Linked DNA regions of Arabidopsis thaliana. Each later gene encodes a partner of the first gene's protein in a complex. Each region holds a gene or a part of one and is shown in the gene's direction. Other genes may lie near its edges.

The links.
Region 2: the proteins of COP1 (region 1) and HYH are in contact, whole or in part, in a crystal structure (PDB 6QTT), measured with the Arabidopsis thaliana proteins. Residues at the interface, in NP_180854.1 of Arabidopsis thaliana: Ile373 (codon at 5,468), Ser375 (codon at 5,474), Tyr441 (codon at 6,489), Trp467 (codon at 6,663), Asp484 (codon at 6,714), Lys505 (codon at 7,383), Ala506 (codon at 7,386), Asn507 (codon at 7,389), Cys509 (codon at 7,395), Ala526 (codon at 7,588), Asp527 (codon at 7,591), His528 (codon at 7,594), Lys550 (codon at 7,660), Ala551 (codon at 7,663), Ser553 (codon at 7,669), Thr568 (codon at 7,714), Lys593 (codon at 7,874), Asn594 (codon at 7,877), Phe595 (codon at 7,880), Phe646 (codon at 8,144), Ser648 (codon at 8,150); in NP_850605.1 of Arabidopsis thaliana: Leu28 (codon at 3,409), Leu29 (codon at 3,412), Met30 (codon at 3,415), Val31 (codon at 3,418), Pro32 (codon at 3,421), Asp33 (codon at 3,424), Met34 (codon at 3,427).
Region 3: the proteins of COP1 (region 1) and CRY1 are in contact, whole or in part, in a crystal structure (PDB 6QTW), measured with the Arabidopsis thaliana proteins. Residues at the interface, in NP_180854.1 of Arabidopsis thaliana: Ile373 (codon at 5,468), Ser375 (codon at 5,474), Val391 (codon at 6,049), Lys422 (codon at 6,432), Leu423 (codon at 6,435), Ser424 (codon at 6,438), Tyr441 (codon at 6,489), Trp467 (codon at 6,663), Asp484 (codon at 6,714), Asn507 (codon at 7,389), Cys509 (codon at 7,395), Ala526 (codon at 7,588), Ala551 (codon at 7,663), Ser553 (codon at 7,669), Thr568 (codon at 7,714), Lys593 (codon at 7,874), Asn594 (codon at 7,877), Phe595 (codon at 7,880); in NP_567341.1 of Arabidopsis thaliana: Glu544 (codon at 5,740), Asp545 (codon at 5,743), Gln546 (codon at 5,746), Met547 (codon at 5,749), Val548 (codon at 5,752), Pro549 (codon at 5,755), Ser550 (codon at 5,758).
Region 4: the proteins of COP1 (region 1) and COL3 are in contact, whole or in part, in a crystal structure (PDB 6QTX), measured with the Arabidopsis thaliana proteins. Residues at the interface, in NP_180854.1 of Arabidopsis thaliana: Ile373 (codon at 5,468), Ser375 (codon at 5,474), Gly390 (codon at 6,046), Val391 (codon at 6,049), Lys422 (codon at 6,432), Leu423 (codon at 6,435), Tyr441 (codon at 6,489), Arg465 (codon at 6,657), Trp467 (codon at 6,663), Asp484 (codon at 6,714), Asn507 (codon at 7,389), Cys509 (codon at 7,395), Ala526 (codon at 7,588), Ala551 (codon at 7,663), Ser553 (codon at 7,669), Thr568 (codon at 7,714), Lys593 (codon at 7,874), Asn594 (codon at 7,877), Phe595 (codon at 7,880); in NP_180052.1 of Arabidopsis thaliana: Gly287 (codon at 3,539), Phe288 (codon at 3,542), Gly289 (codon at 3,545), Val290 (codon at 3,548), Val291 (codon at 3,551), Pro292 (codon at 3,554), Ser293 (codon at 3,557), Phe294 (codon at 3,560).

The regions. Positions count from the first base shown.
Region 1 is NC_003071.7:13,975,047-13,985,128, forward strand, and holds COP1 (Transducin/WD40 repeat-like superfamily protein), read left to right. Parts: upstream 1-2,834; 5' UTR 2,835-2,953; coding exon 2,954-3,271; intron 3,272-3,610; coding exon 3,611-3,688; intron 3,689-3,822; coding exon of another isoform or gene 3,823-3,826; coding exon 3,827-3,982; intron 3,983-4,239; coding exon 4,240-4,590; intron 4,591-5,160; coding exon 5,161-5,318; intron 5,319-5,412; coding exon 5,413-5,478; intron 5,479-6,005; coding exon 6,006-6,084; intron 6,085-6,374; coding exon 6,375-6,530; intron 6,531-6,626; coding exon 6,627-6,725; intron 6,726-7,331; coding exon 7,332-7,436; intron 7,437-7,578; coding exon 7,579-7,758; intron 7,759-7,843; coding exon 7,844-7,954; intron 7,955-8,065; coding exon 8,066-8,236; 3' UTR 8,237-8,563; downstream 8,564-10,082. Other genes in the region: AGO6 (Argonaute family protein), read right to left, coding at 69-228, 311-408, 496-593, 700-833, 1,019-1,237, 1,335-1,540, 1,628-1,810. UniProt on the Arabidopsis thaliana protein: E3 ubiquitin-protein ligase that acts as a repressor of photomorphogenesis and as an activator of etiolation in darkness.
Region 2 is NC_003074.8:6,020,717-6,025,985, forward strand, and holds HYH (HY5-homolog), read left to right. Parts: upstream 1-3,127; 5' UTR 3,128-3,254; coding exon 3,255-3,318; exon of another isoform or gene 3,319-3,391; coding exon 3,392-3,578; intron 3,579-3,670; coding exon 3,671-3,869; 3' UTR 3,870-3,994; downstream 3,995-5,269. Other genes in the region: IAA31 (indole-3-acetic acid inducible 31), read right to left, coding at 1-102, 200-324; RBL14 (RHOMBOID-like protein 14), read left to right, coding at 4,230-4,445, 4,669-5,269. UniProt on the Arabidopsis thaliana protein: Transcription factor that promotes photomorphogenesis in light. Acts downstream of the light receptor network and directly affects transcription of light-induced genes.
Region 3 is NC_003075.7:5,720,400-5,728,530, forward strand, and holds CRY1 (cryptochrome 1), read left to right. Parts: upstream 1-3,251; 5' UTR 3,252-3,860; coding exon 3,861-4,194; intron 4,195-4,361; coding exon 4,362-4,580; intron 4,581-4,663; coding exon 4,664-6,152; intron 6,153-6,502; coding exon 6,503-6,506; 3' UTR 6,507-6,869; downstream 6,870-8,131.
Region 4 is NC_003071.7:10,564,382-10,570,073, forward strand, and holds COL3 (CONSTANS-like 3), read left to right. Parts: upstream 1-2,454; 5' UTR 2,455-2,577; coding exon 2,578-3,156; coding exon of another isoform or gene 3,157-3,240; exon of another isoform or gene 3,241-3,242; intron 3,243-3,259; coding exon 3,260-3,565; 3' UTR 3,566-3,764; downstream 3,765-5,692. Other genes in the region: ARF3 (ADP-ribosylation factor 3), read left to right, coding at 77-124, 301-431, 547-580; AT2G24780 (uncharacterized protein), read right to left, coding at 1,300-1,458.

The DNA.
Region 1 (10,082 bases):
ACACCTCCAGAAGTGGGATAAGAGACTACAAAAAAATTAACGAAGGAAACACTGCTGGAGATGGATACCTCCAGTGGAAGATAGTTGGGCCGATCTGGCTTGCCAACATCAAGGCATGGAAAGTACGCAGAAGAAATAGGCTCTGTGTAGGTTTGCTTGAAATAGTCATACACAGTAATCTCTCTAATAGGTACCTCACGTTCACCATCTTTAATCTTCATTGAAAACCTGGAAAACGGTGAAGAAAGTCAAGCAAAGGCTGAAAAAGAGGACAAAATATATATTGATAGTACAATCATGGGGAACCTACAGTTGCTGATTGCACGGTTTCGAACTTAGACCTATAATTTTAAATTCCATGTTACGGTGTGTTGCCTTAACCCTCATATGTTTAAGCATTTTCGCAGCCTGCCAAGTTTCAATGAAAACTTCACAAGCTCAAAACAAAAGCAGCCAGTCATGTTCTCAGTTATTGCATTTAAAAGCCAGAACTACCTTAATCCAGTCGATTTGCCGTGGTGTCTCAACACTCTGATTGGCTTTCAGGAATTCAATAACTGGACCAGGTTCTAAGATCATTGTTGTTGACACATCTGCAAACCATCACAAAACGAAAACAGTTTTGCTTATTAATAAAACTATCCACAATTAAGACAAGTTTATGAAAGCTGGAGATGAGAAAGGTATACTGAAAAATACCAATGTTAAGCGAGAGTCCTCCATGAGTTGGACGAAAGCTCGAATGTAAACCTCGAATACCTATAACACCTCCTCCAACTTTCATGGGGTGCCCATCGCTATGGAAAAATGCCTGTCTGACCAAAAGGCATCCCCTGCATTATCAACAGTTTTCTATAGTAAGCATCGAGCATGGTCACAAAATGCAAATAGTTGTACATTGATTAAATTTCACCAACAAAGTGAAAATATGATAATAAAAATTGGTCCATTAGAACGTAGAGTATCTATTTTAATAAAAATATAAACTGCACAAAAGCAAACAGATAGAAAGATTTACCTTTCAGCTGCTTGCTGCCTCAGTACAATGTCAAGCACTCTAAGTGCATCCTGAGCACTCTTATCTGGTGTATAAGCTCCTCTCTGAGTGCCAAGAACAGTCTTCAACGGTATTTCTGCAGCATAATGTATCTGAACCTTGTAACTTCTTGGCAAGAAAGAACGTTTTGATCGCTTGCAAGTACCGGAAGAACTACCACCATCAGAGACACCACAATCACTATAAACTTAACAAGACTGCGTTAGTTAGAAGATCAACAAGATCTATCTTGACACCTTGAAACGATTAAATATCAATCCAGATAAGAGGGACATACCGTTTTGAAAATGACCCTTCCACGATGACTAGAAAGTCAAATTCGTTCTGTGGTAGAGGACCAACAGTATATAAAGTCTTCTCTCCATCATATGCCAACCTTTTACCATCAAGATCAGAAGAGTAAGTCTTGAATAGTTGGTCCATAAGCTTTCTGCTTATTCCTGTCCCATCAACAGCATCACCGTTTTCTGTGGTGATACTAACCTGCAAAAAAGGTACCGATATGTCAAACATCTCACACACGCACAGACACTGATGAAAGAATGCAGAAAAGTGACTAATGAATCTTACAGTGTACTGGTAAAATACTACATCCGGCTGTCTCACAGAAACATTAAAGTGATTGGTGCACAATTCTATTGGGTTGCCTGTGGTTCCAACCCCACGTCTAGTTGTGATGTCATAATCTCGATGGCTGGGCTGTTCTGGTTCTATACTTATGGGTGACAGTGGCAGAGATGAAGATGTCTCCATCCTTCCAGGGGAAAATAATCTGCAAGAGAGAAAAGTGGAGGTTGGTTACAGTGTGCAAAAACCAGTCCAAAACACAATGCTCAGGAGACTAAGAAAGAAAAGAAAAACACCAAATTAAGAAGACAACTCCAAAAGGTAAAAAGCTAAAAACTTTACCACCATTGTCGTTCTAAGATTTTAATTTCTGGGCATATCCTGCTAAATCGCGAGAAATGGTATAAATTTCAGATGAGGAACAAACTTAATCTGGAAAAAAAATGGCACCTTTAACTGTTGGTCGCCTTCAAAATTGAGAAACATTACACAAACAAAAACTCATTCGAGTGTGTCATACAGTAGCATAACAAGACTTTCAAGAGAGAAACAACGCAGCCAAAACCATACAACTATCAACAGACAAATCCTAGCTTCATGCAAATTCTCCGAAAGAGAGACAAAAACAAAACCTAGCTCCGAATCAACAACAATTACAACAGCGATATCTAGTGAAAACAGCGCACCTTTGAAAGAATTAAGAAGAGGATTTCTAGGGTTCCGGTGAATCAAAGAGAGGAATTTATTTAGCTCATTTCTCTTCTCCGTCACAGTCTCTTTGGGTTTCCCAGACAAGCAAAAGAATGGAGGGAACGTTTCCAGTGATGGGAAAATTAAAATATATTTCACTTTTCAGTCATTTTTTACAGTAACAAAATTTAAGAACTGAAATAAAAATGGTTTATTCCAAAATTATTAAACCGAATCCTTCAAAACTTATTCTATTTCTAGGGTTATGCTCCGGTTGAATGGATTGAAATTCCCAACTTATTCATTTCAAATAGTAAGAAATAAAATGAATGGTTGTAAGAAATTAAATTAGACCGTCGTGGTAATTGTAAGAAATTTCATTGAACCGGACTATAAATTAGAAGCCGGATAATTAAACCGTACCAGCGCTTGGAGAAACGCCAGACACACGCGCGAAAAGAAGCGCGTAGACCAGAACGTGTAGGATTTGTCACCTCAGAAAAGAACCACGGTGGATCCCACCACACCTCAGCCTCACTCCTCCTTCATCTCCGACGTCATACCCAAACCACTCTTTTCTCACAATTCCGATTTTCTCAAAAACCAAAATCACAATCGAAGAAATCTTTTGAAAGCAAAATGGAAGAGATTTCGACGGATCCGGTTGTTCCAGCGGTGAAACCTGACCCGAGAACATCTTCAGTTGGTGAAGGTGCTAATCGTCATGAAAATGACGACGGAGGAAGCGGCGGTTCTGAGATTGGAGCACCGGATCTGGATAAAGACTTGCTTTGTCCGATTTGTATGCAGATTATTAAAGATGCTTTCCTCACGGCTTGTGGTCATAGTTTCTGCTATATGTGTATCATCACACATCTTAGGAACAAGAGTGATTGTCCCTGTTGTAGCCAACACCTCACCAATAATCAGCTTTACCCTAATTTCTTGCTCGATAAGGTTTCTTTTTCTAATTTTACTCGTAATTTGTGTTTGGTCCTTAGCTTTTCAGTTCAAGTTCGGGTGTTGCTTGTTTGAGTCTTAGCTTGTAATCAAGTTTGGTTTTTGTCGTGGTTTTTGTGGAAACAAGTAAGCTAGCTTAGTCTTTAATCGATTCCAATGAACCTTGCCATTAGATTTTCTTAGGAAGGTTTTGTTTTGTTTTTGATGTGTAGTATTGTGGTAGGATTCTGCTTATTACAGCTAAATAGAAGCATGTTTATAGGAATGATAGTGTATTGAAACTATTTATCACTGGAATGCAGCTTATTATATGACGTTTATGTATCAATTGTGTAGCTATTGAAGAAAACTTCAGCTCGGCATGTGTCAAAAACTGCATCGCCCTTGGATCAGTTTCGGGAAGCACTACAAAGGGTCGGTTCTTAACAAGCTTTTTATGTTTCATTTTTTCCTCTTTAAGTTTGCTTTCTCAGAATTATTATTGGAGTAAAAAGCAATTCTAAGTCATTTCTTTTGATCAAATATTGACTTCCTGCGTTCATACTTAGACAGGGTTGTGATGTGTCAATTAAGGAGGTTGATAATCTTCTGACACTTCTTGCGGAAAGGAAGAGAAAAATGGAACAGGAAGAAGCTGAGAGGAACATGCAGATACTTTTGGACTTTTTGCATTGTCTAAGGAAGCAAAAAGTTGATGAACTAAATGAGGTTGGTTTGTCTGAATTATGGAGTAGCATTGGGCTACCTATTGATAATTATTCTCGTTGCTCTTCATTCCATTTGCTTCAAAATCTTCACTGGGTTTAGACTGTATAGTTGTTGTAAAAGAAAGCCATAAACCATGTTTCTATCAATAGATGTATGATCTATCCAACTATTCATGAGACGTATAACCCCTGAATGTTAGATGAGATCTCAGAATATTATAGAATTCTGTCATTTATGTCTTCTCTATCTTAATGTAGGTGCAAACTGATCTCCAGTATATTAAAGAAGATATAAATGCCGTTGAGAGACATAGAATAGATTTATACCGAGCTAGGGACAGATATTCTGTAAAGTTGCGGATGCTCGGAGATGATCCAAGCACAAGAAATGCATGGCCACATGAGAAGAACCAGATTGGTTTCAACTCCAATTCTCTCAGCATAAGAGGAGGAAATTTTGTAGGCAATTATCAAAACAAAAAGGTAGAGGGGAAGGCACAAGGAAGCTCTCATGGGCTACCAAAGAAGGATGCGCTGAGTGGGTCAGATTCGCAAAGTTTGAATCAGTCAACTGTCTCAATGGCTAGAAAGAAACGGATTCATGCTCAGGTTTGTTCCTCCTTGTCTACTCAACATCTTTATGCTGAAATGGTAAAAGGACAATGGCATTAAAGTTTAAGATATTTGTCTATTAAAGAATAAGAATAATTACTACAATTAGGCCCCAGTGATTGTGTTACAGTTACTACCATGCCTAGCTACTCAGCTCTTGGTCATCTGGATTGACAGCTCGAGAAATTGAAAGTGGTTGTGGGTAGAGGATGAATCTTCTTACGGAAAAGATACCTTAGATTAAGGCCCACATTTTTGGTGGTCTTTATAAAAAGCCGATTGGACTTCAGAGAGATTGATTTCGTATTGTTTGCACGTAAAAGTAGAAATAGCTTTCTGGACTTTATATCTACTGCTTAGTGATAGTAGCCGCTTCTTGTCTCTCTGGTACTATAGCAACAAAAAGTCACTATGTTCTCTAGACACACTAACAGTTCTGTGAATACTATGCAATCACAATTATAGTAGTTTTCTTGAAAAAACCTGCATGGTCCTTTAATCTCTCTGTAACTGCTTGTTGATATATGCACAGATTGCCTAATTCTGTTAAAGTGTCTTGTCTTGTAGTTCAATGATTTACAAGAATGTTACCTCCAAAAGCGGCGTCAGTTGGCAGACCAACCAAATAGTAAACAAGAAAATGATAAGAGTGTAGTACGGAGGGAAGGCTATAGCAACGGCCTTGCAGATTTTCAATCTGTGTTGACTACCTTCACTCGCTACAGGTAGAGGAGTGACTATCCCTTTTCAATCGGTCTAGCCGTACATAAAGAGTGTTTTCGAATTAGTTGGGGTTTTAATTGCACTCTTTATTCACAGTCGTCTAAGAGTTATAGCAGAAATCCGGCATGGGGATATATTTCATTCAGCCAACATTGTATCAAGGTGAATTTTCTATTCCTTGTTCGTTGATCAGATAACAGATGATAGGTACCAAAAGAATGTCTCCGAATATATCAAAATAGACCCTTAAGTGATTAAGTTTTGTTTAATGTATTGATAGACGCAATTATTACTATGGGATTCGTTGCTGTGTAATTCTAAGCCAGTGAATAGTATGAAGATAAAACTGCTGACATGGTAGGGAGAAGGTTGTGTAGTCAGCAGGCCACTTGAGGAGAATTTTCTAAAAGATGGAACACTATGTTATCCTTATCCATGTCGGAATATATAGAATCGGTTTGCGATCTTTTATATGAAAGTGTCTCTTCTCAATGAAGAGACGAAAGATATATATTTTTAGTTTATGGTCTGGGAGCTCCGGGGCTCATATCTTTTTCTCTCTATGTGCTTTGGTTTATGGTCTTCCATAGTTTACATGCTTTATGCTTTGCCTGGACCTCTAGTTTACCTGTAATTTGATGTACCATCTTACTGATTTTGCTGATGAAGAGGGTGCTGTTCCTTTTCAGCATAGAGTTTGATCGTGATGATGAGCTGTTTGCCACTGCTGGTGTTTCTAGATGTATAAAGGTTTTTGACTTCTCTTCGGTACGTTCATAAATCTTGGAGTGCATTCAATTACATACCAATTGAATCTTCTTGTCCAACCTTATGCTTTTGTGAAACTGATCATGCATCTCAATTCTAAGAAAGCTTCGTTGATAATGAAACTAAGTTATGCTCTTGGGAAATTCTAGCTTTGATGCAAGATAGCCATTTTACACTTTTGTATTGCGTAGAAGAATATAAATCAAAGCTAATCAAATTTTTGGTTTTAATTTTCTGTTTTATCCAATGGACCACGCTGAACTGATTGATTATCGGCTGCTACTTTTCAGGTTGTAAATGAACCAGCAGATATGCAGTGTCCGATTGTGGAGATGTCAACTCGGTCTAAACTTAGTTGCTTGAGTTGGAATAAGCATGAAAAAAATCACATAGCAAGCAGTGATTATGAAGGAATAGTAACAGTGTGGGATGTAACTACTAGGCAGGTGAGTACTTTACCCAAAGTATCTAACATCGCACCTATAAGATATTCATCTCATGAATTCTGCAGCGTATTTGAATTTTTATGTAAACTGAGGCAGAGTCTTATGGAGTATGAAGAGCACGAAAAACGTGCCTGGAGTGTTGACTTTTCACGAACAGAACCATCAATGCTTGTATCTGGTAGTGACGACTGCAAGGTAAATATCTCCATATTTTCCGTTATCACCTTTCATCTCACATTGGGCTATGTCTCATATAAAAAGAATACTACTTTTAGATATCTCCTAGCTCTTATAACTAACTTGGTCACGGATTTGTCTAATTTCTACGACGAACTAAAGAGACATATTGTGAAACAAAACTGGAGAATCTCCTACTTGCTCATTAGTACATTGTGTTCTCATGAATCTTTTCTACTACTTCTTAAACTTTTCTTTGAGTTGTTCTTCCCAACTTGGGGATTGGTCATATGTAGCCCTTCCTACATTGAATGTTTGTTGGTTTCTTAAATTTTCAGCAAAATTTTCCCCTTAGTGTATCTGTGGTGGCTATACATTAGGAAACAAACGAAACTGGACACTTGTATATAGTAGATTTTACCTTGAAATTTTGTAGCTTCATTTGTCCAAATTTAATTAAACGTTATTGAAAAATTCACTGGATTTCTAATTCTGACAAAAGCATATTATACCAGTGGGCTCCTTTTAAGTCAATTCACTACTAGTTAATCCTCAACCATGCATTATTGCATCTGTTAAATCATGTCTCATAGATTAACCAATTGTGCTGTGTGTTTGATCCAGGTTAAAGTTTGGTGCACGAGGCAGGAAGCAAGTGTGATTAATATTGATATGAAAGCAAACATATGTTGTGTCAAGTACAATCCTGGCTCAAGCAACTACATTGCGGTATATACTTCCACGCCTCAACTTTGCATCTCACATTTATTCGCTACCACTCATGATCAGCATGACACTATCACACGTCTCTAGATATAATCTTTAATTAGATAGAGAGACTTAGACGTTTAAGCCTGTTGACTTATCACAGGTCGGATCAGCTGATCATCACATCCATTATTACGATCTAAGAAACATAAGCCAACCACTTCATGTCTTCAGTGGACACAAGAAAGCAGTTTCCTATGTTAAATTTTTGTCCAACAACGAGCTCGCTTCTGCGTCCACAGATAGCACACTACGCTTATGGGATGTCAAAGACAACTTGCCAGTTAGATTACTGCCCGAGCCAATCTTGCAGATTCAGTCAAAAAGAAAAACTTGTCTTGACTATGTTGTTCAATTTTACTTTTCAGGTTCGAACATTCAGAGGACATACTAACGAGAAGAACTTTGTGGGTCTCACAGTGAACAGCGAGTATCTCGCCTGTGGAAGCGAGACAAACGAAGTATATGTATATCACAAGGTTCACAAATCCGAAACCTCTGCTCTCAACTTTAGCATTTTTCATTCATGATTCACAGATTTTCAACCTGTCGTTGCTCAAGTATTTTAAAATGTGAATGATGCGATGCAGGAAATCACGAGACCCGTGACATCGCACAGATTTGGATCGCCAGACATGGACGATGCAGAGGAAGAGGCAGGTTCCTACTTTATTAGTGCGGTTTGCTGGAAGAGTGATAGTCCCACGATGTTGACTGCGAATAGTCAAGGAACCATCAAAGTTCTGGTACTCGCTGCGTGATTCTAGTAGACATTACAAAAGATCTTATAGCTTCGTGAATCAATAAAAACAAATTTGCCGTCTATGTTCTTTAGTGGGAGTTACATATAGAGAGAGAACAATTTATTAAAAGTAGGGTTCATCATTTGGAAAGCAACTTTGTATTATTATGCTTGCCTTGGAACACTCCTCAAGAAGAATTTGTATCAGTGATGTAGATATGTCTTACGGTTTCTTAGCTTCTACTTTATATAATTAAATGTTAGAATCAAAATGCGGTGATGTGAATCGGTCATGAAAAGTCAAACCTTGGCTTATACAAAAGGTCCGACCCATGCAATAAGTCATTAGTATGTTCATGTAGCAAGATCATTGAAAAAAAAAAATCATTTTATAATGTAAAATTCATGAGAATTGACGAATTTGTGTCATAAGTGAAATTATATACAATTACTTAACACCTCTAAATTAACTCATAACAAAGTGATTGTGTGACACATTTTCATAAATTGGTCGTATCAATACTATAAGAGTAACCCTTTTAAATTTGGATACGCAACTAGGGATGGCATGATGTCTATATAAAATCATGCATGCTTTGTGAAGTTTAAATCACATGGCCAAACATTTTAGTTTTCGTCTTTTGTTTTCGTTCCTAAAAACGTTACATACTTCACTTGGTCATCTTAGTCATAATAATTAGGTTAGGTGGCTTAATAAAAGAATGCTATTTACAGGTTTTTCTAATTCCCTAAGTTACAAGTCATTGACTTTGTAAACAATCTCTTTTGAGTGGAAAGAACGACTTTTTCACAACGAATTGGACACACTAATGTGTTTCTTCCCTTTAAGCAACCATAGCCATCAAATCCTAGTTTTCTTTCTATTAAATAACTACTTTCATACAACATTTTTTGTTAATTGATATTCTACACATATAATTCGATACCTATCCTATTTTTTAAAAAATAACCGCGAATTCGGGTCTAAATCTTAGTCTCTGTATATTCAGATTCAATTTTTAGTCTATTTCTTTTAGAAATTATTTGCTAGCGAAATACATCTCTTCCCAAAAAAAATTATATTAAACTAGTCTTAAAAAAATTACAATTTTTTGTACGTTTTAATTTATAATTGCTTATAATATACATCTTATAAACTCGAAACAACAACTTAAATTTATCGTAGTAATTAATCAGAAAAATCAATAAAGAAATTGGCTAGTCTTATATATGAAAATGAATTGTGGATAAGATTGAATGTGTGTTAATATTTTGAGTTTATATAATTAACTAAATAAAACACAGTACCAAGTCAATGTTCTAAAGAAATGTTACAATATTAGGCTATTAAAGTAACTAGATGGTCACATAATTGGAATTTTCGTTGTTATGATAATATCATATCGTTTCACGTTAGCCACATATATTTTCTTTCAGGTTCACATCGTATTATAAGTTTATAATACGTATAGTATATAATATAGGCGGAGTCACTCAAGCATATATCTATGAAATCTAAATGTGATGTATTCTTTATATTTTTCCGTCACTAAACTTACGTCAAGTATAGATATATTAGTACAACAATTAGTAATAACACTACTAATTATTTTATTCTCACGACGAGTCCTATGAATTTTTAACTTTTATATACCAAGAAACACCGAGATTAATCATAAATGGTAAATGGATGATTGATAAAAAAAGAAAAAAAAAAGTCGGTGTGGATGACTTGGAGCCAACACTTTTACTACGACTTTTGTTTTGTGGTATAATCACAAAATCATACAGTATAATAAAGACAACCAGATACTCTCAAAATCACTAAACTCGGCATTGCTGTTTAGTGATTATCAAAACTATAT
Region 2 (5,269 bases), on another chromosome or scaffold:
TTAACAAAGAGAGAAGTGTCATCACCACGACGAAGAAGACGACGACCCTTTAGTGTATCTCTTAATCTAGACTTTATCGGTGGCCAATCTTGTCTTGCTTCTCTACAAAAAAATAAAGATTTAAAACACAAATGTGAACAAAAGAAAACAGAGCAAAAACAGAACATAGGAAAAAACAGAGAAGTGATGTGAATAAGACCTTTGTGGAGAAGTAGAAGGAAATGTGAGACTAAGGGAGAGATTAACAGAAGATTCAGAAGGAGAAGGTTTAGTACTGTCGACAGAGGATGAAGAAAATGAAGAACAAGAGTTAGAGACCTCCATTAATGAGACCTTGAAGCTGCAGAGCTAGCTTCATGCTTCCTTCTCTTCTCTATTGAGAGTGCTCTTCATGTCTCTCTCTCTCTATTTCTATTTCTCTCTGTCTAGTTAAACAAAAAAGGACTAGTAGGTGATTCTATTGCATAGATTTTGAATTTAAAAATTGATTTAATCGACTTTGAAATTTAATATAAATAAATAATAGGAACATAAGGTTCCCCACATTTAACTATGAACTTTCAACCTTCTAAATATGAACACACATTGATTTCTGAAAACCACTGTAATAATTACCCGATTAGATACTTAATTCATGGGTTTAGATCTTTGGAGTTAGTTAGTAGTAAAAATGTGAAATTATGGTTTTGAGATTTGTTTACATGTAAGATTCGAAGTTTCCGTAAAAAGGTGGTATCCAAGGAAAGTGTGTCTAAATGATGTTGGAGTTAATCTGTTAAGGCTTTGATTTTAATTTCTCAACTGCTCAGATTCTTTAATTAGGAGAGATAAGGGCCAAAAAAGGCTTTATTGTCTAGCCGTAAACAGAAACAGAGCATCACATCACTTTCACTTTCTTACACATCAATATTTGAAAGAAAAAAACTGAGTCTATAGACTATGAACTTGGGGGATCAATTTTTTAGACCCTTCTGTTGATAAGAAAACTCAATTGTCTCTTATGACACATTAATGTAACAGACCATTGAAAATTGCAGAACCAATAAAAATAAGGTAGACTTGAAGAGTTTTGTGTATATTGTTTTTGTGGAGCAGACAGTGTTCTTTTCTTTAACTATACGTTTCCTGTTAATGTCTCTTTAGCTTTGTGGATTGTCTCTCTTAGAAGCCCAAATCTTTTACTCTTTTTTGAAAATCAAAATAGAATTCGTTGATTTATGATAACTTCAAAATATAAAGTAGACATAAATTGTTACATCACATAATGCTCATTGGCTGTATTGATAATAATATTAGATTCTAGAATCATCATGGGAAGTGCACTCTAATAGTTACTTTGTAATAAAGCCTACCTTGGATGTTGGATCGATAAGACTCCTATTAGCTATTATACGATCTGTCTTTGGACATGCATGTCTGGTCTCTAGGGATCCTTCTTGTTAGAATTTCGATATATATAACTTTATAATGTCTAGTAGTCTAATGATGAATGTTTACTCCTCTTTATACTTATAATAATAATTAAGACTACTATAAGTCTATAATCAATTAAACTTTTATCAAAAAAATATGTCCAAGGAGTTATTACTCGCATACCTCGACTTAAAAGAGTTTTGTCATTAGTTTTCGTTGAAGTAAGTAAGAACCAAAGATAATAATCAAACTCCTGATTTTCTGAAGTTTCTTAAAATGGTATTCAAATTTTGGCCATAACTCTCAATATATTAAGACCGAGCATGCGAACGAGAAAAAATATGATCACCATGGTTTGCAGCTCGATTACTTCTAAGTTCTAACCATGGTAAATTTAAACGTTTTGTTGAAGTAATATAGAGAGGCATGCAATAGTATTGTGCCAAAAAGTTATAGCAAGAGAGATCAATATCATGATATGTACTCCTAAATTAACGTGGCATGTTCATGCATAGACAAAGATGCAATCATATCTCCACGTTTGCATACAGCTTCAAATAATAAAATCATATAGTCATACAAACAAAATGAATGTCCGCTGCTTATGAAAATTAATTATTTGGATAGTACTTCGTATAAAAGTTACATCAAATGATTTTAGTTGATTTTAAGACAAGGGGTCCCTTGAGTGATACACAAACTCATCATGAGTATTCTGATCCATTTCATGACGAATAAATTAAAACACAATCAGAAGGTTGATCATGGGTTGGGAAAGATGTATTGGTCGGTCGATATGCCACATGTTATATTATGTTTTATACTTATTCCTGAATAGAAAGATATGTATGAGTCGAAATATACAAAAGAAGGATGAAACTTGTTCTTCTTTATAACCTTATAAAATGTTCACATTGTTTATGAGTGATTTCCCGCGTCCATTCCATACGACTTCATGATTAACATCCCTCAATATATTGATTATGACAATGTTCGAAAAAACTGTTAGATGCCAGGCAGACGACGATTCAACCGGCCAAGTTTTGTTTCCGCGCGCGCGCATAAGTCCACTATCTAATATGCAACCATTACGGTAGAAGTTTACTTGGTCCATTTTCATTGATAACAACAAAAAATCGTAAAACTTTAAAATTATGATGAAAAACGTAAAAAAGAACATGGGAAAATATATGGCGGAATCACAAAGCATGAAAAAATGCTTCGGAATGATTGACTGAATTTACAATTGGTAGAATTTAATTTTAAGAGATAACATTTAAAAATTCAAAACATTAGTTAGCTGTCTTTATACAAAAGAGTTATTTGTGTACCAAAAAATAGAAAACGAGATATATGACCACATGATGAGTTTATGCATGCCTATTACGCCATGCAAATAGATACACACACACATAGTTGTGCCTCTGACTTTGTCTGCAAGTACGTTTGTATGGTTCTAGACAGTAATTATTGTCCTAAACCCACACGCTCTGTGAATACTCACTAAAGGTTGTTTTCCGTAGAAATCATGAACAAAGACTTTAAAAGCAAAACAGAACAATAAATCAATTAATAAGTTCAACGGGATATAGTGGAAAAGAAAACACAGATACACACCATTGGATTGAAACAGTTGCATTTGTGGTCTTACATAAACCTACGTGTTCTTTTATAAGCCAACCAATACTTTTCTCTTTTTTTTTGTTTGAAACGAGTTGCAGACTTTGAGTGGCCCCAAAGAAGAAAGAAAAGATGCAATTTCCTTTGGTTTGATATTCTCTTCAACCTCTTACCTCTCTATTCTCGTCTTTAGCAAAATCTCAAAAGACAAAAAGATATTGATGTCTCTCCAACGACCCAATGGGAACTCGAGTTCGTCTTCTTCCCACAAGAAGCACAAAACTGGTAGGTGTTGAAAGAAACTTATCTAATATTTAACTTAATTTGGTTTAGAGAAATTGGTTTGTATAATTCTCAGAGGAAAGTGATGAGGAGTTGTTGATGGTTCCTGACATGGAAGCAGCTGGATCAACATGTGTTCTAAGCAGCAGCGCCGACGATGGAGTCAACAATCCGGAGCTTGACCAGACTCAAAATGGAGTCTCTACAGCTAAACGCCGCCGTGGAAGAAACCCTGTTGATAAAGAATATAGAAGCCTCAAGAGGTAATCAATGATGAGTAAAAAAACTTTTTTTTCTTAGCATTCGATTTGTGGAATTGAAATGGTAAAAAAGAAACTGTGGTGAAAAATTACAGATTATTGAGGAACAGAGTATCAGCGCAACAAGCAAGAGAGAGGAAGAAAGTGTATGTGAGTGATTTGGAATCAAGAGCTAATGAGTTACAGAACAACAATGACCAGCTCGAAGAGAAGATTTCTACTTTGACGAACGAGAACACAATGCTTCGTAAAATGCTTATTAACACAAGGCCTAAAACTGATGACAATCACTAAATATTTACCCTTTAATCCATTGTTCAGTGTTGTATGATTATCTTTCTTTCTTTTTTGGTTTTGGTTTGTATACACTTTTTGTTCGAATAACATTCACTTTGAGCATCATTGTCATTCAGATTTGCAAAATAAAGTAAAAAAAAACGAAAAAAGGCAAGAAGAGATTAGGTATAAAAACTAGAGTTCTAAAATGCCGTGGTGGGTCCCACATGTTCTTATGCGAGTGAAACGAAGAAGTCTCTGGAGAATTTGTTTTCGTAGAGACCAAGCTGCTGCTATATAAATATTGTGAAAGAGATGAGATTTTAATTACTTGTAAGTGATTCAGAGAGATCAGAAGAAAAGAATAATTACGAAGAAATGGAGAATTTTGGTGAAGGGAGAAGAAGTGGAGGCGGAATGTTGCCGTTGCTGGCTCTAAGCGCCGTCGCGGAGTACTATAGACTACCGTGGAAACCACCGGTGACGGCGAGTCTCCTGGCCGCGAACACTCTCGTTTATCTCAGGCCGGCGTTTATCGATCCCGTTATTCCTCACATCAGTGAGGTCTGGTTCAATCCTCACCTCATCTTCAAGGTAAACCAATCTTAATAAATTCCTTCATTCGCCAAGAGAAATTGATTGCAATTTGACCGATTTCGATCTGAAATTCGAATTTGAGTTTCCTGGGAAATTTGTACCAATATCTGGAGAATTAGGGATTTTGTTCTTCGATATCTAATTAGATCATTCTTGATTGATTAATTCTATTCTCTGTTAAAGTTTTTTTTTTTAATCTTGATGTGTATTTGTTGAACAGCATAAGGACTTGAAGCGTTTATTTCTATCAGCGTTCTACCATGTTAACGAGCCTCACTTAGTCTATAACATGATGTCACTTCTCTGGAAAGGTATCAAGCTTGAGACATCAATGGGAAGCAGTGAGTTTGCTTCAATGGTCTTTACTCTTATTGGTATGTCTCAAGGAGTCACATTGTTGTTAGCCAAATCGCTTCTTCTCTTGTTTGACTATGACAGAGCTTACTACAACGAGTATGCGGTTGGGTTCTCGGGTGTTCTCTTTGCTATGAAAGTTGTTCTTAATTCTCAAGCTGAGGATTACTCAAGTGTGTATGGTATCTTGGTTCCAACAAAGTATGCTGCTTGGGCAGAATTGATTCTAGTGCAGATGTTTGTACCTAACGCTTCGTTTCTTGGGCATTTGGGTGGAATCCTTGCTGGTATTATCTATTTGAAGCTGAAAGGTTCTTACTCAGGCTCAGATCCAGTCACTATGGCGGTTAGAGGTGTATCTCGATTGGTGACGTGGCCCTTGAGGTTTCTGAATGGTATGGTTAGGTCTCGGAGAAGGAGGATTACGGGGAGAGGAAGAGTGGGAAGAGGTCAGACTGGGATAGCAG
Region 3 (8,131 bases), on another chromosome or scaffold:
TAATAATCTTTTAGAATAGAATAAATATTGTTGATATATGAGTATAATTAGTTTTCCAATTTTAAACCCACGTAATTATGAATAGTATTCAATAAGGGAATATGTTAATTGAAAATAAATAAAAATTCTCTCTCCAAAAATCTTGCTGTAAGATTTATTAAAAAAAATCAATGACTACAATTAATTCAATCGAATGGCCAAGATTATAACGTAAGTTAAGTGATTCTCAGTTAAAGGTATTTTTTTCCATGACATCAACATTTTAAACATATGATTTAAGGTAAAAAAAAATTTTAACTGAGAATCACTTAACGTACGTCTCAAATAATAGTGTAGATCAATTAAATATTGTTATTTTCATATTTACATTCTCATAACAAAAATAAAATTCCAATTTTACCCTTACCATCTCAATTAATTATTAATTTTAGATGATGTGACATTAATTTTATAAGTTTTGATAAAAATTAATTTATTAACATTTTATTTTATGTTGTCTCAAAACTTTAAAATTTCATGTTTCTCATAAATATTTTATTTTAAAATTCAACATAAGAAATTAGGAGAAAATCAAAATATTTAAAAATATTCATTTTTACAATCATATTACATTGTCACAATATCAAAGAGATGTTTTATCTTGGGATTCAATCTTCGATTCTAGATTTCCTCTATTAATCGCTATGAGAATCGACAGTAAACAATTTTCGTTGTCCTGTTTTGCCAACATCAAATTTGATAACCGTTCATGATCTCCTCTTAATCCTATCCATAATTTTAATCGCCAATAAAATTAATTTGATCTCATTCGTCGTAATGAATATGATATCAACGAGCATTGATATGAACTTCTTCTTCGTCGTGAGAAACTTACTATTCGAATTTAAATACTTCACAAATAAAACTATTTTCGACAAAATCTTAATCCGATCTCATTGTCTCTCTTAAGATTGATCAATTCATAAAAATGTTTTATTTTTATTTTTATTTTTAAAAAGTTTTTTTTGCTTTTTTCTCTTGAATTTTAAAAAGCAAATAATATAGAAACAAAATATTAATAAAATGTAACTTTTAAAAATTAAATAAAATTAGCGCTTCATCACCTAAAAATTAATAGTTAATTGAGCTAGTAAGGATAAAATTGGAATTTTATTTTTATTTTGAGATCGTGAGTATGAAAATAAAAATATTTAATTGTTTGTGTATTAAATTTTACAGTTTCTTTTGTATGTGTATTGTTTTTCCAACCGAAAAGTTTTGGATATTAAACGTTCAAATATAAAATAGTTGGAGTTTTGTTTGGGAATTTTCACTAGTAATAAAGCAGAAGTTTTCTAATTTATTATATCCATATATAACTTTACTGTCATTATGGTACTCTTCTATGTTAGATTGTATATATTATAATGAATCAATTACGGATTTGCCATTCTCTTAATTGTATTTATGAATTTTTCCTTTTTGAATAGTTTGTAAATTTTGCCCTTTTTGAGGTTACAAAAATGTGATTTAAGATGCGTTTTACTCGTTATATTTAGGTTTAGTCTTTGGTATAAGTATGTATTTTAAAAAAACGTAACGAGGTACATTTTTAAGTGTTAAAAATAATAAATCCGTAAGATTTTAGGAAAAATATCATTTTCACAAGATTTTTATAAAAAAGGCAAAATCAATAATAATCTCTATTATTTTTTGTACATACATATAATAAAATAATAAGCTCTTTCTAGCTATATTATGAATACTCCTACGAGCAATAAAATAATAAAAGGCACGTTATTTACACTCGAAAACAAGCTAATTTAGAGGTGGTCGAGAGCAGATATCATGATTGTTTTTTTTAATGTATGTAATCCGTTCATTTGTGTCATCATTATTCATTTTTATATTATTTATCCGCTTTGTTAAATATATTTTGTCTGATGTGAATTAATTGTTGAGCGGTAAACCAATCATGAAGTTATCTTTAAATTAATGTGTTATTGATAAAAAAAAAAGTAAATTAGTTGTAAATTTTTTTTTTCGTCAATTTGTTGTATACTTAATCTGATGAATATTTATGATTTTCAGAAATGTATGTTTGTATCTTCTAATTTTTACCCACAAAATTCAATGTCCTACGCATATGATGGAATTTAACCAAATACAAGTAGCTAGTTAGTGATTCTGATTTGTTATTTTTTTTTATGTAGGTCTAAGTTATAAATCAATTTTCTTCGAACCTAAAATATATTTTTAACCAGCTCTCAGTATCATGTTTAAAGCTATTAAAAAATTTAAGTAGACGATTCGACAACTACGCTCACCCTAAAAAAATAATCAGATGAAAAAAATCTAAATCTAAACTATCAAACATATTAAAAACAATTATGAAGACTATTCGACAACTACGCTCACTATAAAAATTAATCAGAAGAGAAAAATGTAGATCTAAACTATCAAACATATATGTGATGGAATTAAAATTGGGTAAAGCCGTAAAAGAGGTTTCATAATTTTGGATTAGTGATTTGGTAACTTAAATTGACTTGTCAAGGGAGTCTTAACTCTATCATGAATCAAGATAAACACTCTCCACACCAAAAACAATATATATATATATATATATATAGATAACATAAAAAGTCCTAAAATATGTTAAAAGGCAAGGAGGGCCAACCATATCCATCTCTCGCCCACTTTTGCTAATATGTCACTCTCTCTCATATCCTAACCTTCCAATAACATTTCAGAACCATCCTCGGTACATCATTTATATGATTTCTCTATTATCCTTAATAATCAACTTTAAAAAAATAAAAGAATAAAATTAAGATATCATTTGTTTTACCAGATAAACCGATCCGATTCAAACTAAACCATATTGATATTTATAATCCAAAAACCTCAAATCCAAAACTATACCAAATCATTTATTATATCATTTTATTTTATCTGAATATACCATTTTTCATAACACAGAAATTTTAAAAACCTAAACGAAAATCGAAACGAATCAGAACCGAAATCCGAATTGAACCATTTGATAATTAACCAATAATCGTCCCACTAAAATCCAAGTGTATAAAAAATCAGTTTAATATTTATATGTAGAATATGTTCTAGAGAATTATAGTATAAGATTCTACATTTTTTTTTTTTTTTTGAACAAAGAAAAAAGGAGAAATTTTAGGGAAAGGAGTAGAAATCTTGTGAGTCACAGTTGATTTGGTTCAACTGGATTGGGATAATATTTCAAGTGGAAAGAAATAAATAAAAGTTGTGGTGGAAAATTATTCCAATAAATCTCGTCGTGTGAATTGAATCATTATTCCTAGTGTCAATCTTCTTCACCTCTCTCTATCAACCTCCAATTTCTTCTTCTTCTTTTTTTTTAGATAACTTATTTTTATTTTATTTTTCTTTGATTTTTCACTTTAAGACAAAAATAATAATTTTATATTTCTACCAAAAATAAATAATAATTATAATTTAATAAGAGATAAATATTTTTTCAAACTGTAACCTAAACAATAAATAAATTAAAAGAGAAATTAATGCAAATATTGCTATATTTTTGGGTTATTACTTAGAGACTACTTTGTCCAAAATTAGGAAAAATCTTTTTGGGTGAATAATTCCCAAAAGTATAGTTGCATTTTGCCAGAGAGGCACTCAGAGAGAGAGAGAGATATTCGTAAAGATAAGCTTTTTTTTTTTTTTTGCCTTCTCATCAAAAATCTTTTTTTTTTTGTTGTCTTTCTTCTCGAGAGAGATAAGTGACCAAAGGGTTTCGATTTCTGGAAATAGTTTGAATAAAAAAGTAATTTTTATGTGATTATTGGCAAAGAAAAGTTTTAGTTTTTTTTAGTTTGTGAGAGATGTCTGGTTCTGTATCTGGTTGTGGTTCTGGTGGTTGTAGTATTGTATGGTTTAGAAGAGATCTTAGGGTTGAAGATAATCCAGCTTTAGCAGCAGCAGTAAGAGCTGGTCCAGTGATTGCTCTGTTTGTTTGGGCACCAGAAGAAGAAGGACACTATCATCCAGGTAGGGTTTCTAGGTGGTGGCTCAAGAACAGTTTGGCTCAGCTTGATTCTTCTCTTAGAAGTCTTGGTACTTGTCTTATCACCAAGAGATCTACTGATAGTGTTGCTTCTCTTCTTGATGTTGTTAAATCCACTGGTGCTTCTCAGATCTTCTTCAACCATTTGTATGGTCTGTTGTTCCTCTTCTCTTCTCTCTTTATCTTATCTTTGAATTTGCATGATAAAAAGATTTGATTTTTGTGATTGGAATCATCTTTTCTCTTATGGGTTATGTTTTGTTTGATGTATTTGTGGAATAAGATGATCTGGAAATGATAAAGTTTTGATCTTTTTCAGATCCATTGTCTTTGGTGCGTGATCACCGAGCTAAAGATGTTTTGACGGCGCAAGGCATAGCGGTTCGATCATTCAACGCAGACTTGCTTTATGAGCCATGGGAAGTGACTGATGAATTAGGCCGTCCTTTCTCTATGTTTGCTGCGTTTTGGGAGAGATGTCTTAGTATGCCTTATGACCCTGAGTCTCCTCTTCTTCCACCTAAGAAGATCATTTCAGGTTTGTTTCTTTGCCACTCTCTCTTGTGGGTTTTCGTTTTTTCCAAATCTGTATCATTCAATAATGTTTCTTTTATGTTGCAGGGGATGTGTCTAAATGTGTTGCGGATCCATTGGTGTTTGAGGATGACTCTGAGAAAGGAAGCAATGCACTTCTGGCTCGTGCTTGGTCTCCTGGATGGAGTAATGGTGATAAAGCTCTCACAACGTTTATAAACGGTCCATTGCTTGAATACTCTAAGAACCGCAGAAAAGCCGATAGTGCTACAACCTCGTTTCTTTCTCCACACTTGCATTTTGGGGAAGTGAGTGTGAGAAAAGTTTTTCATCTTGTTCGGATCAAACAGGTCGCGTGGGCAAACGAAGGAAACGAGGCCGGGGAAGAAAGCGTGAATCTTTTCCTGAAATCTATTGGTCTCAGGGAGTATTCTAGGTACATAAGTTTTAACCATCCATATTCCCATGAAAGACCACTTCTTGGCCATCTAAAGTTCTTCCCTTGGGCTGTGGATGAGAACTATTTCAAGGCATGGAGGCAAGGCCGGACTGGATATCCGTTGGTCGATGCCGGGATGAGAGAGTTATGGGCTACTGGTTGGTTGCATGATCGCATAAGAGTAGTTGTTTCAAGCTTCTTTGTTAAAGTGCTTCAATTACCATGGAGATGGGGGATGAAGTATTTCTGGGACACACTTCTTGATGCGGATTTAGAAAGCGATGCTCTTGGTTGGCAATACATTACCGGTACTCTCCCGGATAGCCGGGAGTTTGATCGCATAGATAACCCTCAGTTTGAAGGGTACAAGTTTGATCCAAATGGTGAATACGTAAGGCGATGGCTTCCTGAACTCTCTAGACTCCCGACAGACTGGATACATCATCCGTGGAACGCACCTGAGTCCGTTCTTCAAGCTGCTGGTATCGAGCTTGGATCAAACTATCCTCTACCAATTGTAGGATTAGACGAAGCAAAAGCACGGCTTCATGAAGCGCTTTCACAGATGTGGCAACTAGAAGCTGCTTCAAGAGCTGCAATAGAGAACGGATCCGAAGAAGGACTTGGAGATTCTGCTGAGGTAGAGGAAGCTCCTATAGAGTTCCCAAGGGACATTACAATGGAAGAGACTGAACCAACCAGACTCAACCCAAACAGGAGATATGAGGATCAGATGGTTCCAAGCATTACTTCTTCTTTGATCAGACCTGAAGAAGACGAAGAGTCGTCTCTTAATTTGAGAAATTCAGTAGGAGATAGCAGAGCAGAGGTTCCAAGGAACATGGTTAACACCAACCAAGCTCAGCAGCGGAGAGCAGAACCGGCTTCAAACCAAGTCACTGCTATGATTCCAGAATTTAATATCAGAATTGTTGCAGAGAGCACTGAAGACTCAACAGCGGAATCTTCCAGCAGCGGAAGGAGAGAAAGAAGCGGAGGCATAGTCCCCGAGTGGTCTCCAGGGTACTCAGAGCAGTTCCCTAGTGAAGAAAATGGTATTGGAGGAGGAAGTACAACGTCTAGCTACTTGCAGAATCACCATGAAATACTGAACTGGAGACGGCTTTCACAAACCGGGTATGTAACTCGCAAATCCGACTCTCTCAACAATAAGTTCACATAAAGATTCTAAACATTTTCAAATTGAAAGTCTCCAAATTTTCAGTAAGTTTCAATCTTCCTACACAATTCAAATAAATCGTCGATGCGCGTTGTGCTTGGCACACTTGTCTAGCCAAGTAGTATCAGTTTTAAATTGAATTTAGCTGAAAAGTTTTGAACTGTTTTCAAATCCAAGTGTTTGCATTTACAGTAGACCACAGTAAAAAAATTAGTGAAAGTTTCTATGTTTCACAGTTCAATTGGAATTTGGTACATTGGTCTAACCAAGTGGCATGAAATTTACTGTGGTATGTTTGGTTTTACAGGTAAAAAGTGCATTTGGAGGTGCAAAAGGAGAGGAACATCATAAGGGCTGTAACTCCGGTGAAATCTGGTTGGACTGTAAACCGAGTACATTTGGTACGGTTTAATGTAATTCCGGTTATGGGGCTGGAGAGAAACTATGTAGGAGTTTGTCTGATGTACATTTTTTATTTATCTCTGGTTCCATCATGTTATAATACACTGTATAGTAAGTAGTCTGTTGCTTGTGGTATTAGACCAGGTCTCATACTTGTTGGCTTTCAAAGTTTTGGTTATAAGTCAAACAGATGCCAATTCTTAATCTTATAAACATATATAGTTCACATTTATTTATGATAAATGACTTGTTAGTGTATATGAAACACGTACGTCTACTTCCATATAACGAGAATCCGAATAGGTATGTATACTGATAGTAGCCTTCGACGTCACGAGCTTCCCACAAAATCTCGTGCTGATTAGAAACTAGACAAGACCACGATCTCAGTTATAATCTCTGCTGGGCCTAATTCGCGTCTGAAAAAACGTGTCTCACGAAACTGTGAATAACTTAATGAGCTTAAATCCAAAACAACTTCTATAAAATGGAAAACGACGATGAAAGACTTCGAAATAACTCTACCAAATTTCGTTACCTTTGACAACGATTTGATATGTTGAAACTGTTTCTTCCCCAATCCTAACGATTTTGATCCTTCTCCTTCTCTCTCTTTTTCTCTTTTACAGAACGAAAAATGACTAACCAAAGCTCTAATTCGAGTTTCCTTCTTTTATAGGTACACTCTAGGGTTTCCATTAACCCAACCGATTAAACCGGGTGATTTAAACACAAACCATAACCGATTTTCCGGTTTACGGGCTTTACACAAGAACTATTCCTTAATGATCTCTTATGATCCATCCCAAACCGAATCTCTATCGGGAAAAATGTCATTTAAATCATCACTTTACCATTTTCGTTGGTTTAAATCATGAACTCTCGATCTGGTGATTTAAATCCTCAATTTTATGTTGACGTTTAATTTAATCACGAATTCTCGTTAACTAAGCCAATTAAGACACATCGTTAGAAATCTTTCTAATCAAAATTTCTGAGTTTTTCTCTATTTTTCTTCAGAATCTCTTATCTTCTTTGGAATATCTCTTCTTCTTCGAATTCAAAGTAATCTTTCGTCTTTAGGTCGATTGAAGACACCGAAAAAAAAAAATTGTGCCTCAATTGGCTTAGTCAACGAGAATTTGTGATTAAATTGAAAGTCAACATAAAATTAAGGATTTAATTTACGAGATCTAAAGTCCATGCTTTAAACCAACGAAAATGGTAAAAGGATGATTTAAATGACATTTTTCCCAATCTATATCTCTTATGATGTGACACGTCGTAGTTAGATTTGATTCATCCTCTGTCTAGTTTATTGTATTTTCCGAGTGTCTGAATAATAGTTACCATCGAGAAGTACTTTATAAACTTCGTATATCTTTTTCTGTTTGATGAAAGCATATTTTAAAATAAACACGTAAATAAAGCATTTTCTGAAAACGAAAACAACAAAAGGGAAAATACTCTTTAAAAAATAGAAAAGTGTTTAACATAGTCACACTTTTTCAATTACAAATATTTTTACGTAGCT
Region 4 (5,692 bases), 3.4 Mb from region 1:
CAACAATGCTTACTTGAGTTTACCTCTGCCACTGTCAGCATTTAACTCGCACTATCTTTTCAACTATGTTTTATAGGAAGATGAATTGAAAGGTGCGGTGGTTCTGATATTTGCAAACAAGCAGGTTAGTAGTCTCTAAATGTTTGCTCTTCCGATTAGTTTGGGCTGATTCATCTGGAAATCTGTATTGGTTTCTGTTGCTAAAAAGCTTTAGTTTGTTTTGCATGCACAAGACACTTTTTTGCTGATGAAAAATCTATAACTATTTGGTCTGAGTTTCATTAAATCGACTTAATTTAGGATCTTCCCGGTGCACTCGATGATGCGGCTGTTACAGAAGCCTTGGAGTTGCATAAGATAAAGAGTCGTCAATGGGCAATCTTCAAAACTTGTGCTGTGAAAGGCGAGGGACTTTTCGAGGGATTGGACTGGTAAGCACATTCTGAAACCGAACCATTTTCTTGGTCCCATTATTGAAACACTGAACCCATTTCTTTATGCATTTCTTCTCAAATATTCTTCTCTCATTTCCATCTTGATCTTCAGGTTGAGTAATACATTGAAGTCGGGAAGTGGCTAAAATCATCGTCATACACCAATCTGTCACATTTCTCAAGAGTGTAACTTTGATCATTTTTACTTATTGGTTTGTTTAGTATCTTTTTTTTATCTTAGTTCTTCATCTTAAAGAGTTAATATCAATGACATGTTCACTTAATATTCTCTTTTTGTTGTTTTGTTTCATTCTGAAAGAAAAAACCCAACACAGATTTTTGATTGAGACCCATAAGGGGTAATATCATCACTTTTTAACATGAAATATTGAACTGATTCCAGACGAAACACTGAATTGGTTCCAAGTGGTGTTTTTGCCGACTTGGATTCAGAAGCTCAAACGTTTGGGGTTTTAGAAGTCCTAATTTATGTAATTTGTCTGCTCCTTAATTAATGATAAAATTGTTGACACTATTATGCCATTTAGTAGATAGTAAGATTTTTTTTTAATGTTTTCAAAGAGGCAAAAATAATTTGCAAGGAATATATAGAACTAGCAAGATACTAGCCTAAGCTATTTGATTAACTTTCCTGCTAATAATGCTAGTATGCTACCAAAACAAAACACAAGCGATTTGTGAAGCTCTTTCTTAAAGAGTCCGGCTCGGCGTTTAGAGAATGTAACTTGACGGTGGCTCTCTTTCTTGATCTTACCATAGAATCTTTTATATGGCGGGTGTTGAGCAAATTAACTTAAACAAATTTGTTTTATTATCGTAACTCAATAAAAATTACGATTTCTAGTCATAAACAAAAGGCTGTACATAGCATTAGGCCTGCTACGGATCCGGATATCCGGGTTTTTTGGAGTATCTGGATCCGTATCCGTATCCGGCGGATATGTAGTTTTAGGATCCGCATCCGGATCCGTAAACCTCGGATATCCGGATTTCGAATATCCATGAAAAAACCGGATATCCGCGGATATTCGAGATCCGTTTATTTTTGGGAACAAATTCAATTTCCTATTTCACCAACCAGATTGAATTCACCACCAAAAGAGATCGACGTGTGCCCGACATCAGACTTTGCAAGGCACATACCACCAAGATCTCGTCTTTAACGGTGTCCAATCTGCTCCTCCTCATTCATCTCCGCCATCGACACTTTGAATCCCATGTATCATCATTCCCGTAAGTAAACTTCCGTCCATAAATTTACGACGGTGGAACCGAGATGAATATGGTGGGGAGACGGTGATGAAGATTACATGGAGATGAGATGGAGATAGTGAAGGAAATGGTGATGAAGGAAACATTCACGGCGGCAGAAAAAATATGTTATGAAACCCTAATAGTTAAGTCCCAAACAAACTCAAATTCCATCATTTTGTCGTAGTGGGCTAATATTGGACTATTGGGCTTAACATTGATAATGTGTATTTGATTAAGCCCAGGATACAAATATAACTTAAGCCCATAATACAAATATGTAGACATATTGAACGGATGCGGATATTCGGCTCTGATTTTTTTCATAATCTGGATCCGTATCCGGATCCGCCGGACTCGTATCCAGATCCGCCGGACTCGTATCCAGATCCGCCGGACTCGTATCCGGATCCGTCGCACCTAATTATTCGGTTTTCCGGATCGGATCACGGATCCGGATTCGAATACCCGCGGATAACGGATTTTAGTCCCAGGCCTACATAGCATCTACGGTAATTATTAACTATTAAGTAACCATGGGTAAATTCGAATTTCCTTGCCGACAAAAAGAAGGAACTTTCCATTCCTTTTGTGAAAGTCCGTGAGAACATGAACCCAAGTTAATACACCTTCACATGATTAGCCCCACTTCTCCTAAATGTCTCGTAAACTCCAACTATTCGGCTAAGATTCACTAACGTGTCATCTCTCTATTCGCTATTCCCAGATCTCCATGACCCACTTCACTCCCTGCGCGTCCGGTACAATCGCCACTTCCATAACACCAAGAGTCAATACAAAAAAAAAGCCGACTCCATTATTATCCCTCTCTCTACAAAAAAAACAGTAGAGAGAGATATAGAGAGCATCAATGGCGTCGTCGTCAAGACTTTGCGATTCGTGCAAATCGACGGCAGCAACTCTATTCTGCCGCGCAGACGCCGCGTTTCTCTGCGGCGACTGCGACGGTAAGATCCACACAGCTAACAAACTCGCATCACGTCACGAACGAGTTTGGCTATGTGAAGTATGCGAACAAGCACCAGCACACGTCACGTGCAAAGCTGACGCCGCTGCGTTATGCGTCACGTGCGACCGTGATATCCACTCAGCTAATCCACTCTCTCGCCGCCACGAGCGCGTACCAATCACTCCTTTCTACGACGCTGTAGGTCCAGCAAAATCCGCTTCCTCCTCCGTCAATTTCGTAGATGAAGATGGCGGTGACGTCACTGCTTCGTGGCTTTTAGCTAAAGAAGGAATCGAAATCACTAATTTGTTCTCCGATCTTGATTATCCGAAGATTGAGGTAACGTCGGAGGAGAATAGCTCCGGTAACGACGGAGTTGTTCCTGTGCAGAATAAGTTGTTTCTTAACGAAGATTACTTCAATTTCGATCTCTCTGCTTCCAAAATTTCTCAACAAGGATTCAATTTCATCAACCAAACTGTACGAATCTCTCTCTATCTTCTTAAGCTTCCATGGATCTGGAAAATTTTCAGATCTAGATCTGAAAGTTTGGATCTGATTTGAGTTTGTGAAATGTTGTTAGGTTTCGACGAGAACGATAGATGTACCGTTGGTGCCTGAAAGTGGAGGAGTGACGGCGGAGATGACGAACACGGAGACGCCAGCTGTGCAGTTATCACCGGCGGAGAGGGAAGCAAGGGTTTTGAGGTATAGAGAGAAGAGGAAGAATCGGAAATTTGAGAAGACGATTAGGTATGCGTCGCGTAAAGCTTACGCTGAGATGAGGCCGAGAATCAAAGGACGTTTTGCTAAGAGAACAGATTCGAGAGAGAATGATGGTGGAGACGTCGGAGTTTATGGCGGATTCGGTGTTGTTCCGAGTTTCTGATATTTTCCGGTGAAAGAAACATGGTAGTAGTATATCGGTTAATAGCAGATTAAGGATAATTAAAACTAAAATGTTTCCTGATTTAATCAGGGGCTAAGTTATTGTTAGAAGATTGTTGTTTTTTGAATTAATTCTCACAATTGTATCCTAAATTATATAGTTTACTTAATGTTGAACTAATAAATTTTGATTTACAATCTCTGTAAGAAATCGATATGCAAAAATAAATGAGTTGAGCTATTAAGATTAACATTCATATAGAACACAAACTCATACAATCAGCTGTGGTGGTGTCCGAGACTGCAAAATTCAAGAGGCGATGGAGGCCAACGTTGATGGTGAACGAGGCCAGATTCGAGAAGCAAAAACTTGTCACGCGGTTGAAGAGAAAGAGCATTTAAAGAAGAGGTGGTTGTGGGTTTCGATACCGTTAGAGCAAAGCACACAAGCTGCAGAGATATTCAGTCCCCAACTTATGAGCCTGTCTTTCTTAAGCAATCTACCTTTCAATGCAAGCTAAGTGATGAAAGAATACCTTGGCACTGCATTCTTGAACCAAACAACCTTATTCCAAGGAATCAAAGTAGAATGTGCTCGTAATTGCTCTCAAGTTTCCTTAGAAGAGAAAAATTGTGCAAAGAAACCAAACATTAAGATATTTAGTTATTAATGAAAATTCAAACATGAGAAAAAACTTAATCAAACGAAAGCAACACAAAAGAAGAAGAAATCTACATATTCTAAAATAACAAACCACTAATTCTCTTTTAGTAAATGGTATAACCTTGAAGGAGAACCCTTTCAAGTATTAGATAATCTAATCATTTTTCGTCGTCATTACTCATAAAGTGTCGAAATATCACTTCATATCAATTGGTTTGCGTAAAACTGACCATACGTCTTCAATGATTGTCATATCAAATGATTCGAAAAGTGTTGGCATATGCATACTCTAGTTTTCATAATGAATCGATTCTCAGACTCTTAGCAAACAAAGGAACATAACATCATCATAATAAAATTTTGAATGAAGTCAGAAACCGCAAATCAAAACTGTGAAGATATGAACTTGATAAGCAAGTTTAAAGCTAACTCAAGTTAATATAAGTTGAACTTGGGTTGAGTTAAATGCTTTTGGATCATAAAGGAGGGTGTCCACGATGTTGCAAGGGCTGGCACAAGTTAGGACAGTCTTCTCATCTTGTGTTTCAAGCAGCCACGTTTGGCGTTTCAAGATGCAACCTTTAAGGTTTACTTTAGCACAAGAAGCTCTAGTTTTATTATCACTATCAATTCACAACAATGTTATTGTGGCCCAGCAGTTAAGTCTCTGTTCCACTTAAGCTTTGACTTATAACTCTTGTAGTCACCTTCTTCTTCATAGTGGAAAGATGTGGATCGAAAGAAAGATCATAACCGGACGTAGCGGTTCGTTAATACCGTGAACCAGGTGAACAAATATTTGTGTGCTTCTCTCTTCTTCTCCCTTTCTTCTACTCTGTTATTTCCTCTTATTCTTCTCCATACTTTGCGTGATATGTTTTTCGTGAGTTGGTGTCAATGACAAAGAGCTGAAAGCTAGAGCCTTTGAGAGGTTAAAAACTTTATGTAATATTGTGACGACAAGATCTAAAAATATATGCGGGGATCAACTTAATATTTTTAAAATAAGTATATACATAAGAGATAAAACTAAGTATGCCATTATTTTAAAATTTAAATTTATCATGATATATTGTAATTAACAGTTTAAGTAATGGTAGCAATGTCCAAATGAATTGTGAACTGTCGGGATCAATGACATTGAAATTCTACAATTCATTGAAATATTATTGAGATAATATTATTCTTTGTGTCAATAGGAGGAGAAAAATATATCACCATTTTCGGATGTCAACCAACCGATTTTGACATTCAAAACATATTGTACAAAATATGCTATTACTAATAAAATTCAGTATAAATTTATCATTTTATTTGGTAGCAATTTCTACATAAAATCTGAACTTCCGAGATAAATGGCTTCAAAATTCTCAACCATATGGAATTTTTTTTTTTTTTTTTTGTGACATTAGGTGAAACTAAACCAAAATATATGAAAATAATTTCCTACATTTTATAAATTGA